Linked DNA regions of Schizosaccharomyces pombe. The protein of the gene in region 2 interacts with the protein of the main gene of each other region in a pairwise test. Each region holds a gene or a part of one and is shown on either strand. Other genes may lie near its edges. The genes, in order: sog2 and nak1.

Region 1 (9,914 bases), 1.1 Mb from region 2:
AGATTCATAATCGGATCGCAAATTAGTAAGGCGTTTACTGTAAACATATCGCAGAGCATTTTTTCAAACTGCGTCGTCTAAAGATGAGAATGATAGTTCATTTGCTTCCAAAAAATAAAATGGATTCACTAACGTCCAAATCCTCCTCTCACTTTCAACAAAATTAACGAGTAATACAAAATCAAATATGTAGCATACAATCCATTATGATATTTTAATATGATAAGAGCAATTGCTAGTCAATATCACATTTTTGCTTTAATGACTATTCCACAACTCCATGCATGATGAAGAATTTGATTAAAACATGTGTAACAAGCAAAACATCAGAAGGTTAAAGCAAGATAACAGGTTATGACAAACAATTTGCTTGGAATAATTTCATATTTGAATGCATCTAATCAAATCGCTTTTTTTTTAATACAAACAGTTGTTTTTATTTATATATTTTGCGATGTGTTACATACTACGATATGCCAACTAACGTCAAATACCAAATTCTAATATTACGCATAGTGTAATTTATAGTGGAAGCGAGTACGTGAATGTATGGTCAAGTACTTGAATCTTTAGCAATGATCGGACTTAAAGGTATACTCAAAGTTATCGACAATTCCGTAAGTTTAAAATATTACTATTTGTACTAATAAGATGGAAAAGGGTGCTACCTTAGCTGAGTGCATTCGTGTAGTTCGCGCGGGAAAATTCGCTTCACTTGGTAAGTAGCACGAAGTGATCTTTTGTTTATATTCGACTAACATCACCTTTTTTTAAAAAACAGGTGATGAAGTGGTAGTAGTGGTAAAAAAGGCACGAAGCGGTTCATCAGTTACTGCTGCTAATAAAGTTAAACGCGGTGATATCCACCATGCTATCATTGTTCGGACGAAATCACCAGTTCGAAGACCCGATGGTCGTTATGTTCGTTTTGATGATAATGCCTGCGTCTTGGTTAATAAGGAGTGTGAGCCTCTGGGAACCCGTATCTTGTCAGTCGTTGCCAACGAGCTCAGAACAAAACATCATACTAAAATAGCATCTCTTGCTCCACGAACCATCTGAAAAGGGTATTGTAATGTTAATATTTCACTTAATTAAAATATATTTTTTAATTTTCTATTCTACGTCTAATTAAGGGACCTTGTCTCTTCAGCAAACACTTTTTACCTGATAGCCAATTAAGATTTTGCTTTTTTGGAGTTTTGTTACTCGTAAGCATTGTGGGGTTAAAAGGTTTTTACTACACACTTTTTTAGTAAAATACAGCTGTAGCAGGCTTTATTATATAGTCCATTATCTGTTAAATATATCTGATCGATCAAAAGAATTTAATGTTCTAGTAAGAATGGATTTGCTGGCGATTGATTTGGATTTTGATGTTAGTGAGTCAAAGCTTGAACGGAATAAGCGATTAAAACAGAAAGTAAGCATTGAAACTGATGGATGGACTCCAAGAGTTCAATGTTTTGGTGTATGTTACTCATTTTTTACTCCCAATTTATTGTCTATGATTTTAACAGATTATTCAGCATCTTAGTAAAAATGGCGTCGTCCTCGGTGAAGAAGCCTATATTTTAGAGCAATCAAAATTTGCAGCGGAAGAACAATATTATCTGGGAAACTATTCCTTAGCTAAAAAGTTTGCATTTCAAGCACTTGATGTTCCAACTGATAGTTCCAGCATTGAGTACCACAGACTGAGTTCAGGCGAAATCAATGAAATTGAAGACATCATCAGAAGATGCGAAATGAAACTTGAAAATAAGCAAAGCAATTAATTAGAAAAAATTTTTGTCTTGTCAAAGAGTACCTACCCAAAACTACACACTCTGTCTAATTTTTGTACATGATTTTCATGTGGAAACAGATTAATCACTACTTGTACCATCATCCTTTACAATTTGTCCTTGGTTTTGTTATTTGAATAAGAAATAAATTAATCAAATTCAATCGTGCATCATTTTTTGTATCATTAAATTTATAGTCTTTGTAGGCTTTTGAGTTATCGAGTTACCAATTATTCCTCATCAATCTTCATTAAAAAATTCTTTAGCGCTGTAAACCTTCCACGTTCCCATCCGCGTCAGTAAAGTAATCGATTTTATTAGTACTATAGGCTGACGCCGGAATTGCAGCTGGTGACATGATTAGAGGAGATGTAATAGATTGAGCAGCCGAACCCAGAGCCGCTGACAACGGTGTTGCAGGTACGCGGGCTATTGGGGACATCAAAGGAACAGGAGTGGCTAAAGATGACTCAGTGTAATGTCGAGCAGAGGAAGAAAGTAAGATAGTAAGATCTTTTGTAGATCTTGTTGCAGCTGAAAGACCAGCTAATACGCTTTTTTGGAATGTATATTCACTGGATAACGCTTTCGCTAAATTTGCGACTGCAATAATAGACTTGACAAATGCTTGAGTGTCGTCCAAAAAAAGCTGCCATTCCAATTCTTCCGGATTCGTTTGAAAAGTTAGAAGGCGATGCTTAAGTTTTCTAGTAACATCACAGGCGGCGGCGGATAATGATCCCAATTCACGTAACTTACTAATCAAATTGGGTGCGATGTTTTCATTTACTAGATCAGGCTGGTTATTTTTAGGAACAGCATCAATTAGTAATGTCAAAACTGACATTGCACTGTTTGTTGCTAAAGCGACCTGATCTTGTATTTGTTTATCAATTTCAGGATTCATCACTGATGCTGGTTTTTCAACGCTAACGATTCTGTTCGTAAGCCCAGATGCAGTCCGGATCATACTTGTCGGAGATTGACGTACCTGATCGGCGAATATGTTATTACCACTATGGGGTTGTGATGGACTCAATGGTACCAAGGCGTTTTGTAACTCCTTTGCAGCATCGAAAAGAATTAGCAGTAAAAGCCGAACATATCGGACATCCGCACGACTAGTGAGCTCATTTAAAAATTTTTTTGTCACTTCAATTAGTTTACGAAACGAGCTGATACAAGACAATGAAGCGTTTACTATGGAATTAATGTTTGCAGTTCCATCATTGCTTTGTTGGGTATCCTCAAAGCACAGAATTAGCCGCTTAATTTGAACATTGGCAGTATGTAACACATGACGCATAGAATCTAAAACAACGGGGTTGCTGCAAAAAAGAAGTTGCTGACGAAGGGCTTGTTGGACTTGCGAAAGCGAAAACAATATGCCCCTAGACGACTCTAAAGTTTTTTCAAAGGCCGAGTGCTTCATTTCAACCTCACTCCCTCCAATGTTACTGAAGTAGCTGTTGACCGAGTCATTTGTCAAATTGGAGCCATTTTCATGCGTTTCTTCTTTTTTCAAACGAGGGGAAGGATGAGGATCTTGAGCAAAAATTCGATTTGGTAATTGCTCAGAAAGTTTGCGCGCTTCTTTAAGGGCTTCAAGACGATGTAAAACACTCGATGGAAGTCTAGTAGAAGAGTAATCATCATTTGTACTATTGCTTCTATTACGCTCTTTCTTGGCAACCTCAGGTAAACTTATGGCTGATGTTTTAGCACTCGCACTCAACTGCGTTGGAGCTGTTTTTAGAATCGATTGTGTGGAAGCAGCATCATTATTTGAGGGATTTTGATGTTGATCAGTGAATTCTGAAATTTGGTCTTGAATGGGGCTAGCGCCGTTAGTATTGTGAGTACGTTCTTGAACGTCTGCACTAGCGACGGAGGAATTGGTGAGTGAGCTTTGGGGTGAATGGTACAATGGTCCTGTAGCAGAAGAAGGTGGTTTTGAAACAGAAGGAGAATTGAGGCCAGTAGCTAAAGAAACTGACCTACGAGGACGGGCTTGTCTAGGCGACGCATCTAGATGAAATTTGTTTAATTGATTAAGTGATGGAGGATGAGTGCATCCATGAGCAACATTTGAATCATACAATGTTCCTTCTGAGTTCTCATTTGTCTTTGACAAAGTCGATTTGGGTGTGGACTGTTGATGCCCGGCAGGAGAATGTGAATGGGGACTTGGCGTGACAAACGTCAGCATGCCAGGTGAAACCGCATGGCTAGTATCTGATGGGGCACTAAATAAGTAAGAATCAACCACAGAGGAGTCATTTTCTTCCGAGTGACTAAGATTAGCTGAAGCGGATAAAGCAGCGGAAACAGTACTTTCACTTCGCGTTCTAAAGACTGATTCGTTTCGCGACAAATATCCCTTTATATTGGCAATAAACAACTGCATATCAGAATCTTGCAAGTCATTATTAGCGATATGCGGAGGAGGAAACACAATGTGATTGTTTTCAATTTTAAGAATTTCAAGATTCGGCATATGTGCAATGTAGGTGGGAAGCTCAAAAAGACGATTTTTAGAAATTGAAAGAACTTTAAGGTTCATTAAAGCTCCAAAGGATTCTGGCAGTTGCTTGATTTTATTGCGAGAAATGTCTAAAATTTCAAGTGACTCAAGTCGACACAAAGATTCGGGAAACTCTCTAAGGACATTCGATCTAATATTTAGGTACCGGAGACGAGTAAACTTTAGGATTTCAGGACCAATACTCTTTATAAAGTTATGGCCTAGCGCTAGTCTCGCTATCCGACCCTGGATTCTTTCCAATTGTTCATAAGGTAATTCCCGCAAGTTTAGATGAGATAGATCTAACGTAAGTGCATTTTCAGGACCCGCATCTTCTGCCTCTTTAATAATTCTTTCAATTTCTGAGTTTTTTGTGGAGGACACCTCATGAGCAGACATAGCATGAAAAGATCGATCACCTCAGACGTAAATCCGAAGGTTTTGTTGAAAAAAAAAGGAACTCTAAGAAGTAATAATTACTAAAAAAATGCAATGAACATAAAATTGATCCACAATGGTATGCTATAATGTACAAAAGTCAATTCCCCAAAATTTACTGCCAAGCTAGTTCGCGGAACGAATAAACTCACTTCTTTCTGTGTACGCATCTGTAGGTTGTACTTTTTTATTTTAACAACGTGAATAAGCACTTTTCCTTAAAATAATTACAGTTTATTAACGTTTACACAAAATATTTTCGTTAAGTTTGATATTGCGTTTTATTTTTTTTAGCTATGCAGTTCGTAATTATCATTAATGATATGTTAGACTACTTGATTTTCGTATGTGCACTACATAGCGGTACATATGGTTGTATGATAACGGGGGTTACGGATATCCTTGTATGAAGGCGGTAATGTAATTTATCTCTAAACAAACCACCACAGCTGAACTAAAGAACGTTGTTCCTTTGATTTTACATCTATCATTTCTAGCTAATAAATTAAAAAATTTATTAGTGGATCTACATCGTATTGTTATCATTTGTAAGACGATAGGTAATCAGAACATGTGACATATAGTAATTCGTAATTGTAATGTAGTATTGTTAGCATTCATTTCTAATTCTTGAATGATCAAAAGCACTCGCTATATTATGTTGGTTCGAACTTTTTGAGTTCATCGAGATCAGAAGTCGTTATTAACAGGAGCAACAAATGCTAACGCTACAGTATGTTTTGTGGTAAATAATTCTTTAAGTGTAAATTGATAACTTTTTGAATGAGTTGCAATTTTGTTGATTCAATATTTCTGTCATTTATCTATAGTTTGTTTATCAATTTGATTATCTTGGTGCGTTTGATTTCCTAATCATTAATATTTATTGTTTATTTTATTAGTCCTTAATATATTGCTTCCTAATAGAATCGCCTAGGTTTATCATTATGATTTAAGAACCTGATAAAAATAAATGAGTTGATAAATTGTACATATAATCAAACACGGTTTTTTTTTCTATGACTAAATGGGTTACTATCTAAAATAATTTTTTTTGGTTTCTCATTGAGAAATTGAAGCCTCATTATTTTTGAATTTCAAAAATATTGGTTTGTGTTGATTAAATCATTTAATCTGAGTCATTAAATATCCAAACCTGACAAGTAGTAATAGGACCATTAATGGTAGCCAACTAAGTATGGGTATAACGTTTAATTTTTTTTTTTTTTAAACTACATACTTTAAATAAAATCTAAAATAAGGAATAAATTTCAGAAACAATTACTCAATTAGTTAAATTTTAGTAATGTCGAATTCTAATAGTAAGTCAATAACACAACAGTATCCCTTTTAAACGAATACTTATTTGCTCGTATCGTAGAATGTATAATTTACAATCGCAGTTTTAGCTGTGCCTATTATTTTCACGTGTTAAAATTTATTCGATTTTTGTCCTCAGATGGAAGGTGTTACTCTAAGTACTCTACTAAATCCCCAGCGCTTGTTGCACGACTAGGTAACGAAACTCAACACCTTAAGTAGGCTTGCCGTATTGTATCGTGAACCATACCTTACTCATTCCTTATCACGAACAGTGATTTTATACTTGTATATTTCTATTAAATTTAAAATAGAAGGGGATTATACAAGAAGCTATCGAATGTTAAACGTAAAAACAGGCGGCTGTTTTGGTTGTTCATACTGTATATAGGAAAGTTGAGGTTAAGTCAAAAGAAAGAAGATATATAGAAGATGCGCATTTGGTTTAAAAAAGTTCCAGATGGGATTACTTCCTCCGTTATATTGTCTGAAGATCATCTGGTTGACGATTTAAAAGATGCCATCGCTCGGAAATTCCCTATTCGTATCAGTCAGTATTATGATGCACCTGAGCTTTCGATTCGTGTAGTAGCTCCACCAAATGCATCATCGGAGTTGCAATCTAGAGAACTCAGTCCCAACGAAAGCATATTATTTGTCATGGAAACTTATTATCCTCATGGTCAGGATTTTAACGACGCGCTTCTAGTAGCGTCGCCGGATACCTCAGTTGCCTTAAGATATCGCTCTTCTCAACTCTCATCCTCTACATTTGAATCAACACCTCCCGTTTTTTCTGAATACCCACCTAACATAATCCCTACCCCAGCGAACGAAACAGTCCCGCGTATCAAACAGCCATCCATTGCTCTTGATTCACTTGAGAGCCCGGTTTCTGCCCCTTCACGACATCAAAGTACTTATTCTTATAAAGGAGGTCCTTTAAATTATAATTTACGAAATGCATCCCGAACTAGGTCCCATCAAACTCTTCCTTCCTCTAATGTAAATAAAACTGGCGTACTACTTTTGCCTCGTTCTTCTAGACAGCAAACATTGGCTTCAAGACCCTCTTTACCAGATCTAACTTCAGCTGACAAGTCGCAACCATCAGACGAAGCCGAATCCATTACTAGAAAAAATTCTATTGGAATGTCGACTCGGTCTGATGAATCAACAGCTGAAAAATTGGCGAAAGCCGAAGTCGCGACACCCACTAATAGTAGAAGTATTAGTCATTCATCGCTTTATACGAAACAATCTGGTACCGCAGGAGTCCTTCCCGCGGTTAATGCTGATATTGACGCAGCAAATAGGATGAACCCTGATATCAGTTCTCAATTTCCTATAGCAGACAACAAAGATCCCTTAAATGCTGATACACAAGCCCATTTAGGATTTCCTTCTAATCAAATAGATGGAATTGTTGGTACTTCACCAGTCAATGTTCTAACAAGTCCCGGCATAGGTGCGAAAGCACCTTTTGCTAGTCTACTTGAAGGAGTGATTCCTCCAATTAACGTTTTGATTGTTGAAGATAATATTATTAATCAAAAAATCCTAGAGACTTTTATGAAGAAGCGCAATATTTCCTCGGAGGTTGCTAAAGATGGGCTTGAAGCACTCGAGAAGTGGAAAAAGAAATCTTTTCACTTGATTCTAATGGACATCCAACTTCCCACGATGTCCGGTATTGAAGTCACCCAAGAAATTAGGAGACTTGAGCGGTTAAACGCAATTGGAGTTGGTGCTCCAAAATTGACACAACCGATACCTGAAAAGGATCAGCTAAATGAAAACAAATTTCAATCTCCTGTGATTATAGTGGCACTTACTGCTTCTAGCCTAATGGCTGATCGAAACGAGGCTTTAGCTGCTGGTTGCAATGATTTTCTTACAAAGCCTGTCTCTTTAGTTTGGCTAGAGAAAAAAATTACGGAGTGGGGCTGTATGCAAGCGCTTATTGATTGGAATGGTTGGTGCCGTTTTCGCGGTCGATGATATTAGCCTTACCAAATTTTGTATCACTGTGTTTTGTTCTGTTCACCACAATAAGTCGAGCTCCGCTCATTTTATTTCCGTAATCTTTTATTGTATAAAATTAATCTTTTGGTTATCAATTTGTCGGACGCTATGGTTTGCTAGCAAAATAATTTCCTCTTTTCCTTTACCTAATTACCTGCCTTAATTATTAATGGATCAGCTTGTCATAGATACTTATTGCTAATTGTGTTATCCTTATAACTAAACACTTTCTGATTTACCTAATATTATGTTGTACATTAAAACTCCAAAATTTCGTTATTCATCTACAAAGATAATAAAGTAGGATATCTTATTTTCGTATCTAATATTTTAGTTGTAAAGACTTTTAATATGTCGCTAAAAAATGAGCGTATTTCAATCTCGTGTGCATCATTCTTGATTGCGTCCATACCACACTTAAACACCAATATTTTCTGTGTCTTTTGTTTTAATACGTTTTTGTAATTAATAGTAAACTGTGGTGTTTTTTTTTTCTTTAAATTTTTTTAGAAGATTTGTTTTATAAAAAATGACTTCTATCTCGAAAAGAAAAAATCAACAGGAGCATATACCCGCAGAGGATCTAGAAACACCAAAATTACCAAAGCGAGAAAAAATCGAGGGCACAAAAGAATCTAACAAAGTTCGTATCATCATTTTATTGGGATATTCTGGTTATGGTTACCATGGGATTCAAATAAATAATCCCCTTAAAACAATTGAAGGAGATGTTGTAGCTGTACTTAAAAAATTGGGCTATTTAAAAACAAATAACATTGATGCTGAACATTTGTGTATTGCGCGAGCAGCTAGAACAGACAAAGGGGTCCATACATTAAGAAATTTAATATCATTAAATCTTTTTGTCGATAAGCCACTAGATATTTCCTTACTTAAAACTGAGTTGAATGAAGCACTTTGTTCTCAAATTCGTGTGTGGAGTGTCTTTCCTGCGCCAAAGTACTTTAATCCTAGGATTTCTTGCGAGTCAAGGACATATGAATACTTAATTCCTTCTTTTGCTTTACTTCCTCCTAAGCCCTCTTGTCCTCTTTTTAAAAAAATGCAGAAAAACTTATCAAGAAAACTGGATAATGAGTTAGAAAGAAATTTAGTTTATTCAATGAACGATTTGATTTCTTTTTGGAATACAGTGAAGCTTAAGCAGAAGGAAATACAAGAAATGTTTGATACTAATAAAGATGCATTCACTAACCCATTTAAAGGTATGTTCTATGAAAAGCCTATTCCGGCTGGGATTGTAATACCTCCCCAAGCAAAATTAAAGAAGGCTTTAAAGCAAGCTGAATATTATTGCTATATGAATTATCGTATAAAAGAGGATCGTTTAAAGGTTTTACAACAGCTTTTAAAGAAATACGAAGGCCGGCATAATTTTCATAACTTTACTGTCACTGATGACTCCACATCACCAAGTAATTATCGATTCATTGAGAGTGTTACTTGCGGAACTCCTTTTGTTTATGAAAACTGGGAATGGATTCCTGTTACGATTAAAGGTAATTCTTTTATGCTAAATCAGATTCGTAAAATGATGGCTCATGTTCTGATGATTATACGAAGCTGTGCTCCTACGGGATTAATAGACAAAGCGTTCGATCCAAATATAACGATGAACATTAGTAAAAGTCCAGGTCATGTTCTTCTTTTAAAAGATATTAAATTTTCTTCTTATAACGATTCTGTTACAGATGGTCTAGAAAAAATTCAATTTGATTGCTTTGAAGAAGACATTCTGTCCTTAAAAATTAAAACTATTTACCCCGACATAATTAAGTTAGAACAAAAAGAGAAACTGT
Region 2 (9,620 bases):
AATATACTTCCCCTACACTTTTATGGCGAATTAGTCAAATCTCCACAAGGTTGTGAGGTTCTCGAGTCTTCTGGGCATTTTGAATCTTTTATGGGTACCTTGGTGGAATTTTACGATAAACCGTTAGGAAATGAAGCCATCAGGCAGTTAAAGAGTGCTCTTTGGGCTATAGGAAACATTGGAAAAACCGATCAGGGTATTACGTTTTTAATTAACCATGATACGATACCGTTGATTGTCAAATATGCCGAAAATTCATTGATTCCTACTGTTCGAGGAACTGCTTATTTTGTATTAGGCTTGATTTCCAGGACTTCTAAAGGCGTTGAGATACTCGAATCACTGCATTGGTATAGCCTTATGTCTTTAATGGGCACTTCACAAGGAATTTGCATTCCGAGACATGCTGGACAAGTATTATCAACTCCAAGGAGAAATGTTGAGTTTGTAAATGAGCGCGTGCCAACTCCTGAGTTTTCTTCATTACTTAGCTCTTTAACTAACTCAGAGAGAGAGGTAATTAGGCTCGTTTCCAATTTGTCAAACCATGTTTTAACAAACGAGTCAGCACGGCAACTAACAAAGATTCGTTCGAAAAATGCTAAAGTTTTCTCCTCTAAACGTTTGGTGAAAGCTTGTATGACCATTCTGGGAAAATTCCATTACCGTGTTCAGATTCAACAATTTGTATTTGAATTATTTCCTTACTCGGTTTTATTGTCTTCCTCAACCTCACAGGACTTAAATGAATCCCCGTCCAGGCCGAATAATTTGTCAATTTCCGCATGAACTCCAAATTTCCGAACCTTCACTTTTCTAAAATTTTTGTAAATTAATGATTTTTATGATTTCTTATTATCGTTTTTCTTCTGTTATTCAATAAGTTTGATCTTTAGTTTTCTGCTTATTCTTTGACCTTCCCTCTTTGTTTCTTTTCATAAGTTTATTTACTAAGTTAGACTAGTGTTTACATAAAAGGTGATTGCGCTAGGGTTAGTAATGAGTTTATAATTGTTTTTGGATGTTTAAATTATTAATCTAATATTTATAAGACATGTCTGATACTTGCGGATATTTTTTTGAATTTGTGTAGTTTAGGTAGGCCTGCTTAGCCCCTGGCCTCCATACGATAGTAATATGAACAAGAATATATTGCCTTTCATCTTTTCGTGCTAATTTTTACTTTGTACGCTGTTATTATCAATATAAAAATTGCGTACCACAAAGGTGTACTTATATGTAATACCCATGCTTAGCAAGTTATGCTCAACTTCCACATACAACGTATGCAACGAACGGCAGCCTCATGTTATAGTAAATTAGCAAATCCTATATAACTAAACGAAAGTGTATTTGCTTAACATATCGTGGAGTTTGGGCATATTTCTGCTCACAAGTAAATCTCATACAACATCGCATTTGGTTTTAATTTGTTTTGGTTGTTCGCAAGGAAGAAGATTATTCTTTAAAAAAAAGGAAATAAATTTATAAATATAATTTGAAAAAAAATATATATATATATATTTGGGTTTTTACACTCTTTTGACTACATAACTCGATAGGTTTTCGGATTTGTTTAATAGACAAAAGAAGGAAGTACGTTTAAGGGTTTATTTCTATGGAACATTATTGATTTTTTTTTTTTCTTGCTATGTACAATGTGACATACAGGTTACTTCGTCTAAGCTTGATTTCTTCTCATTCTTTAAGAAAATCACGGTCCTTCGATGTCAAAAACTTTGCAAATATTCATTTTTTTATTCCCTTACCAAACACACCAAAAAAGTTTTATTCTGTGAATGCATTTTCCCCTTTACTAAAAGCACGGCGCATGACAGCTACGATTGTAAGCAATCATAATGTTGGTTGTTCATGTTGCTACTTTCGACAGTATAGCACAAAACAATTTCGTGATTTAAATACCAGTGAAGCTCTTTCTCCATGTAAAGCTGAACCGATACCCTATAAAATCATGTCTTCCATGAGTAATTTTTCAGATTTTAAGTCTCGATTTTCACAATATCGAGAATCACATTTAAAGCTACTAAATGAGCTTCAAAATGTTAAAGACACAAATGATCTAAAAGACAGAATACGCTTACTTCATCTCAATAGCTCTTCTAAACTTAATGCTTTTTTACACGATCTTATAAACGCGCCAAATGTGTCAGCAGAGATGAAGGAAAATTGTGTTCGTCTGATTTTTTTTGGAAGGAAGTATGATCCTTTTCTTAGATCGAGGATGTTCACTTTAACTATTCGTTACTTTCTACTTCAAAAAAATAGGCTTAGGACTAGTTTTTATTTATTAAAACATATGGAGTTATTGGCTCTTCCTGCTTCTTATGAATTGAAAACAACTCTTTTAGAGTGGTTCTTACGAAAACGAAAATTTGAAACAGCTCAAAAGATTTTCCTATCGCTCTGCTTTTCCCAACATTTTCCCTCCGAAAAGTTATTGATGGTTTTACTTCTTCATGGGACTGAAACTATGCAGGAATATGCGATGATACAGGCAATAAATTTTGTGAATACAGAACAAAAGTTACGGTTTTACGATAGACTACACTCGATTTGTAGCAAGTTAAAGTTTTCCTCGACGGGTTGATGCTTTGGTAATAAAAATGGTTCATTTGGATGGTTATTTAAATACAATATTAAGATTTCTACTGTTTGGGTATTTAGTAAGGTAAATTAAATCATTGTAATTTTCGTTCAAATTGTAACTCATATAAATTAAATTATCCCTCATCTTGTTCTTTAGTTATTATCACGACAATAAATTTACGACTCTATTCCTTAACCGTGGGCACTATTTTAATTTAAATGTTCTGTATTTGGCATCATTATCTCAACAATTTAGATTTTCATAAAAGATGAACGAATATATTAGCAAAAAAAGAGAAGTTAAAACATTAAATAAATTAAAGATTATATTATGAAAGGACTAAAAGCATCATAAACAGTTATTCATTATATGCTTTTCTGTTTAAAAGATTACATTCCAAGCTCTTTAGACAAGCGTCCATTTCTCCCAAAACGATGTCTATTTCTAAGCTCAATACAGACTTTATATTGTGCATATTACCTGGATAATCATTAAATAATTCCATATTTAGACCTCGAACCCCCAGAGAATCGTAATTATCATTTGCTAATGGTTGAACGGCCGGTGAGCCAATGGATAAAGGGGGTAAATGAGCTCTTAATTTCGAATTAAATGGCTTAGGAGTGGACGAACAGGAGGAAATTTTAGGAGTAGAACTAGCGGATTCAAGACTAGGTTTATGCAAAATAGAGGGAGAAATCGATTTCGGAGGAGGTATACTAATTGACCTATTAACCTCTAATGGCTGTAGCACTGCCGAATGTTTATGCGCTGGCGCTTCTAATGGTGTAGATAGTTGTTCAAATGCGCCCATCGATATACTTCTAGATTGGAGGTCGAATGAGGATGGCATACGAAGACCCGGCTTCATTGGTGACATGGATATTCCTCGTTTTCCAAGAGAAGTTTTTTGACGTTGCACAACTCGAGGCAGGGGTCGTTTGATACTTTGATCCGATGAGGTTTTGGAATTTGAGCGTGTGCGACCTACAAACAAATCGTAATCTTCAGCTTGCTTAGTGTGTTTCGATTGAATGGTTGATTTTTTGGAGGATAGATTTGAGGAATCTAAGCTAGGTAATTCGATTTGAGAATAAGATACTTCACCTTTGGAATCCTCAGTAGAAGCTCCTTCAGCGTTACTGGGAGAATCATCATCCGAAATCTTTGAATCCTTAAAAAGTTGTAATAACGGATGGGAATCATTAGATGAAGGGGGTTCATGCACTGTGGAAGATTTTGGAATTACAGTTCCAGTTACAGTAGTGGAGGAAGTAGCAGCGGTAGTAGTGGAGGTGGAAGTGCCAGTGATGGATGAAACGTTACTTTGACCTTGTTTAATAGTGCCAAATTCCCAACCATCATCAGAAGCAGCGGTGTCGGAGGTTTCCTGATCAGGGTCGCTTCCATCATCGGCTTCTTCACCCAAGAGTAGCGTTTGGGGTATGCCGCCAGCAGCCTGCCAAGTGTCATAGCGTTTTACAACATTGGTAAGTTCAGAAATAGACATGCGAGAATATTGTTTGATAAATTTTGATTTCAAAAGTTCGGAAGAATCTAATCTCCTCTGAGGGACATCCTGCAAACAAGAGGCAATGAATTCTTTTAAAAGAGCACTAAAATTTCCATTGAGTCTAGGGGGTGCGGTGTGAGCGATTAGGTAAACGGCACGAAAAGGATCCTCTTTGGCATGAGGTGGAGATCCAGTAGCAATTTCATATGCAGTGATTCCGAGCGACCAAATGTCAGCCTAAACTTTGTTAATAATTTTGTGGAATAGGTAAAGGGCTATAAGTAATCAGCAACGAAACATACCATAACATTATATTCCTGACCATCTCGAATAACTTCTGGTGCCATCCAATAAGGCGTTCCAATAAACGTGATTCGCTTTCGGCGATTGATGTTTAGTTCGGCAGCAACGCCAAAGTCACATAGCTTGACATTTCCAGACATGGAAACTAGGATGTTGGCAGCTTTTATATCACGATGGATGATACCTGCATGATGAATAAATTTTAATGCCTGTAAGGTCTCTCTAAGGATCAAAGATATGCATGGTTCACTAATGGGACCAGCCTCCATCAAAGTACGCACGCTACCTCCATGACAATAATCCATTATAATCCATAAATTAGTACCTACCAAATAAGAGCCATGATACTTTATAATGTTTTCGACATCGGACTGTTTCAATTCACTAAGAACAGCGACTTCTTTCTGAATATCAGAGACTTCATCCTCATCGGTATCCAAATTAAGAATCTTGATGGCAACAGTCTCTTTCGTTAAATTGCAAATTCTTTAGAATGTTAGAAAATGTAGAAAAGAATCACTCGAATAATATTCATACCCTCTATAGACTGCGCCGTACGAACCGCGTCCCACCAATTCTAATTTTGTGTACGGCGAAGAAGCAGTGTTATTTTCCATTTCTAATAACTTTAGCTGCTTAGCAGATACATGAAGAATTTTAATTGAACAGGTTCAATTCAAACTCCTTCAATTCCCTTTCACTTTTTCTATACTGCTGGTGGTAGCGGGTACGAAGGAATTGAGTAGATATATATTGAAAAACTGTTTACTATAATACTCAATTTGTGCAATCCCTAAATAACAAACAACTTATTATACTATTTTTTTTCAATACCGAAGCTTTGCGAGGAAAAATACAGCAAATTTAGCAGGAGAAATGAGAATATCTTATCGAGTTTAGCGTAACGTAAAACTAACGATATCTTATCTGTATTTTTCTACTACGCTATGTCGTTAATCAGTATATAATCTGTAGTTATTTATATTTCCGTTCCGCAGCGGATATATATCCGTTCTTTGAGAGTAATTATCTTTAAGACTAAAATCCTTTAAAATAAATCGACCGAATTTTTGTTCCTCAGTTCAAATTGTAAACAATTTATACAGTTATAGTAGTACCCAATGTCTTGTTTATATCCAAGGATATTTAAAGCCCATATTCGTAAACCAACTTTACATAATGCATACAATCATATAAGATCCTTCTCACAATCTACATTTTACGGATTGCAAAATTTCCACTATCTAAGCTTAAGAGCTGAAAGCTTCTCACCTTACAAATATGCTGATTTTCGTAGTAAATAATAAAATGAGATGACATTACTTATTTACTCGGTCGATTTTTGAGAATTTGCGTAAAATACTAATTTGTATCTTAAGATAAAGATACTAAGTTGATTATGTAAATCCGAGTATGCATGGTTGTCTGGTGTGTTACGTTTAGTATGCTATCCATTAGCTTGTACACTGTTCTCCAAACCATTTCATTTTTTTTATGAAATTACCAATTGGTTTGTAATAAGTTGCTTTTTAGTTAATTTAACGAGCATTACTGTTGCTGCTCATCTTGCATGGCTATCGTTTCGAACCGATCATATAAAATATTCGACGAAACAATCGCATAATAGGAGCTAGTCAAAGAAATTTTAAATTTTTGTACAATTTCTTGAGGGCAGCTTAGTTTTGTTTGATGGGATGACAAATCCCGGTATTTACAGACTTTCAATTCAATGAATTGATTTGATGCGTCCAATACCCACATCGCTATTTTAAAAGTGTAGTAAATAAAAATAATGTAATGTATATTATTAATTTATTATTACATTGCCGAGTAAAAAGGGAGTAAAACGAGAAATCAATTGAAGGATTTGTATTTTCTTTATTCTTTCGTTTACTAATTTTTGTAGCGATGACCTATTTTAAAGGTTAGATAAAGTAAGTCAACACGCTGAGCTTAATTGAGATTATCGGTGCGAGCGATCGATTGTAACAATCAATCGCAACAATCAAATGATAATGTATTAAGCAAAAAAAGGAAACTTGAAAGAAATATAGAAATGAGCGACCCTTAGCTCTTCGACCTGGGTGAACAAGAGTCGTTGTACATAATAAAAATATAACAAAAAAGAAAACCCCAGACAAATCACAGTTTCAAGCATATTATACAATCATAGAAATTTGCATTACTAAAAGAATTTCTCTTAAAAGATTAATTATCTAAACATTCCTGTATATCGAAAATCGTAGTTGTATGTACAGAGAGACATGGTACTTTTATTTATCAATAAAAACAGTATACCAACAACCAAGGGGAGGGCATTCTTCATTGTCAAAACTCGTCAGTTTGACTTGTAAGAATTCGCAATTCAAATATTTCCTAGGAACATGACTTTCAACTCGTCCTTTAATGAGCCCACTTTGCACTGCTAATCTGGGATGGGTGGTATCAGCACACTTCCTACTGACACTAACGCTAATGTGCCATGATCGTAAAATTGCAAAATCTTCGCTATCGCAAGCAGAATGTTTGTTTTCTCCGAAGTGTTAAGGAATGTATCGAATCGTATGGTAAAATCATTCCATCATCCAAAGGTCAGTATACGATATTGGCACGCTAATGCGTACAGGACAATGCTAAGCCTCTCTCTTTACGAGTTGCTCGCTTGAACGACTTATAAATTCCTTTAAATTAGTAACCAAGCGAGTAGTTTGGTATTTTATTAGAGGATTTGCCTTCCCCGAGCATCCTCGGAAGTACCGGCTGTGAAACTGCGACACCCACCTTGCAATAGCTAACTAGTACTTACCAACCCCGTAGTGTGAACCTGCTTTGTACACAATACAACAAATAATTCTAAAAGCGCAATTTATTAAGTTAAGTTTACCCATCTAGTGGAGAACAGTGTTATTTGAGTTGAACAGAATTGTTATTCAATTTTAAAGAGTGTCAATTTATCGGTTACTTTTTTTTTACACATCTACAATTCTTTCATTGTATTTGGGTTTAAATCTTTTGTCTGTTATCTCATTTTCCTCATTGAATTCTTTTTTTTATTGTTTTCATTTGTTAAGTTTTTCAATTTTTATTACAATAGCCATTGTTCATGACTGTTGTCGTAGGAGTCCTACAGATTGACGATATGGGGAAAAAGTCATCATTCGCTAGCTGGTGGAAGCAATTGCGGGTTAAAAAGTCAGATGACAATAAATTGTTTGGTCTGAGCCTTACAAGGGCTTTGGAAGTATCGAAGGTCGCTATCTTTCTGACACGCCGAGACGGTGAGAAAGTATTTTATGGCTACATTCCCGCTGTCGTTGCTAAGTGCGGGTTTTTTCTTAAACAAAATGCTACCCAAGTAAAGGGAATTTTTCGCGTTAATGGTTCTTCCAAACGAATCCAAATTCTCCAAAAAGCTTTCAGTACAGGCCCGGATTATGGCCGAAGTTTTGATTGGGAAGGATACACAGTTCATGATGCTGCCAATGTTTTTCGGAGATTCATCAATCTAATGCCAGAGCATGTGATTCCTTTGGAGTATTATGAAAGGTTTCGTGAACCCATGACAATTCCCAATCTTACAGACAATGAGCGAGTGGAAATGTATCGTCGACGCATTGATGAATTACCGATTCCAAATCGCCAGCTTTTACTTTATTTACTGGACTTACTTTCCGTTTTTGCGATGAACTCGTCGAAGAACCTGATGACTGCTGATAATTTGGCTGCTATTTTCCAACCTGGAATTCTATCTCATCCTGATCACGAGGTTTACTCAAAAGATTATCAAATATCGCAAACGGCTCTTTTGTTCCTTATCAATCATCAAGGAAGCTTTATCAAAACCATTCCTTTGTCTTCACTACCTCCTCTGGTAGCTGCGCCTACTTCTCCAAATACTTCTTCTACTTTAATTACGCAATCTGCTGCACCTACTCCTATAGCCTCGACATCCATTAGGATTAATTCTTTTAATCCAAGAAATGGATCCATTAAGCGTTGGCGCTCTTTTAGTCGTCATTCTAGTGCCACTTATTCCAATAGTCCGAGTTCAAATTTTTCAAACATGAAAAGCTCCGAGGTGGATCCTGGTTCACCCCCAAGAATCAAATCTCGTTCGTATTCATTGTCTAGAAGCTCATCTATGAAGCTTTTCCATACACTTGATCGCCGGAGGGAAAATCGTATGTAATACTTTTAATTGTTTTTCTCTGTTTATCTAGTTTAATTGTCTTTGTCCTTGGTTGTATGGCGAAGAATCTTTTTGTACATATATACTTAGTTGTTACCGTCCGCTCTTTTAGTTTTATTGGGATTTGCATTTAGGCTGGATACCGCTACTGTCGTTTTATGTTTTTTTCTTTGTATTCAGCCATTTTCATTTTAGAAGTTCTACTTAACCATAGTAAGAACAAATTATCCAATTCGTTATTGTTTTTTGTAATTGTTTTTTGTTTTGGTAGATCAATATATTTATCTACATAGTAAATTTATCTGACAGCTTTCAGCTACTTTCGTAATTTTAAATTTTTATTAATTTGGTGTCCATATATCTGTACAAAGAAACTTTTATGAAAACAACAACGACATTGTAACCAGAAAGGATTTATCAATCTATACTTTATTAGGCTCCAAGGAGATCCTGTAACAATTGTAAGAGGCGCTTCTGATCTTCAGATAACTCTTCATCATTATTCACTGACAAAAACAATGGTATCTTCAGGTCTGCAAGGATTGCAAGCTGTTCTTTGTACATCCTGTTTGTCAATTGTACCACTTGTTCATCAAATTCTTGTAAAGCCCTATTGTCATCTAAAGTTTGAGCGGAATCATTGTTGGTCTGGTCATTAAGACAATTGGACGGTTGTTTCAATTTAGGGTCGGAGGAAAGCGGTTTCAGTATTTCTTGAAGCTTAGTTTTCGACTCAAAATGTTGAACTAGCCGCTGCCGTTCCAGAGACCAGTTGCGCTCTTGACGTTCCTGCATAGCCTTCATCTTTCTTAATTTTTGTAACTTTTCGGGATGGCGGGAATTTAGGGCAAAGATGTACCTCAAGGCAGCGGGATAGGTTTTAATTTTTTCTGCGTCCTCTATAGAATTGTTCAACTCAAAATCAGAGGGTTTCCGAGCCTTCGATAGAGGGATGGATGATTTGTCTACATTTTCAAGCTGATTACTCGTTACGTTGGAGGAGCTTT

Evidence for each region.
Region 1: the proteins of nak1 (region 2) and sog2 interact in a two-hybrid assay, tested with the Schizosaccharomyces pombe proteins (one study listed by BioGRID).

Annotation. Positions count from the first base shown.
Region 1 is NC_003423.3:3,550,773-3,560,686, forward strand, and holds sog2 (leucine-rich repeat protein Sog2), read right to left. Parts: upstream 4,885-9,914; 5' UTR 4,711-4,884; coding exon 2,050-4,710; 3' UTR 1,908-2,049; downstream 1-1,907. Other genes in the region: mrpl38 (putative mitochondrial ribosomal protein subunit L38), read left to right, coding at 576-617, 661-718, 782-1,062; SPOM_SPBC887.08 (uncharacterized protein), read left to right, coding at 1,346-1,471, 1,530-1,778; response regulator Mcs4, read left to right, coding at 6,502-8,070; tRNA pseudouridine synthase Pus2, read left to right, coding at 8,624-9,912.
Region 2 is NC_003423.3:2,479,280-2,488,899, forward strand, and holds nak1 (PAK-like kinase Nak1), read right to left. Parts: upstream 5,147-9,620; 5' UTR 5,042-5,146; coding exon 4,962-5,041; exon of another isoform or gene 4,911-4,961; coding exon 4,424-4,910; intron 4,359-4,423; coding exon 2,967-4,358; 3' UTR 2,788-2,966; downstream 1-2,787. Other genes in the region: target of rapamycin complex 2 subunit ste20, read left to right, coding at 1-789; SPOM_SPBC12C2.01C (uncharacterized protein), read left to right, coding at 1,652-2,608; Rho-type GTPase-activating protein Rga5, read left to right, coding at 7,528-8,613; SPOM_SPBC557.02C (uncharacterized protein), read right to left, coding at 9,046-9,620.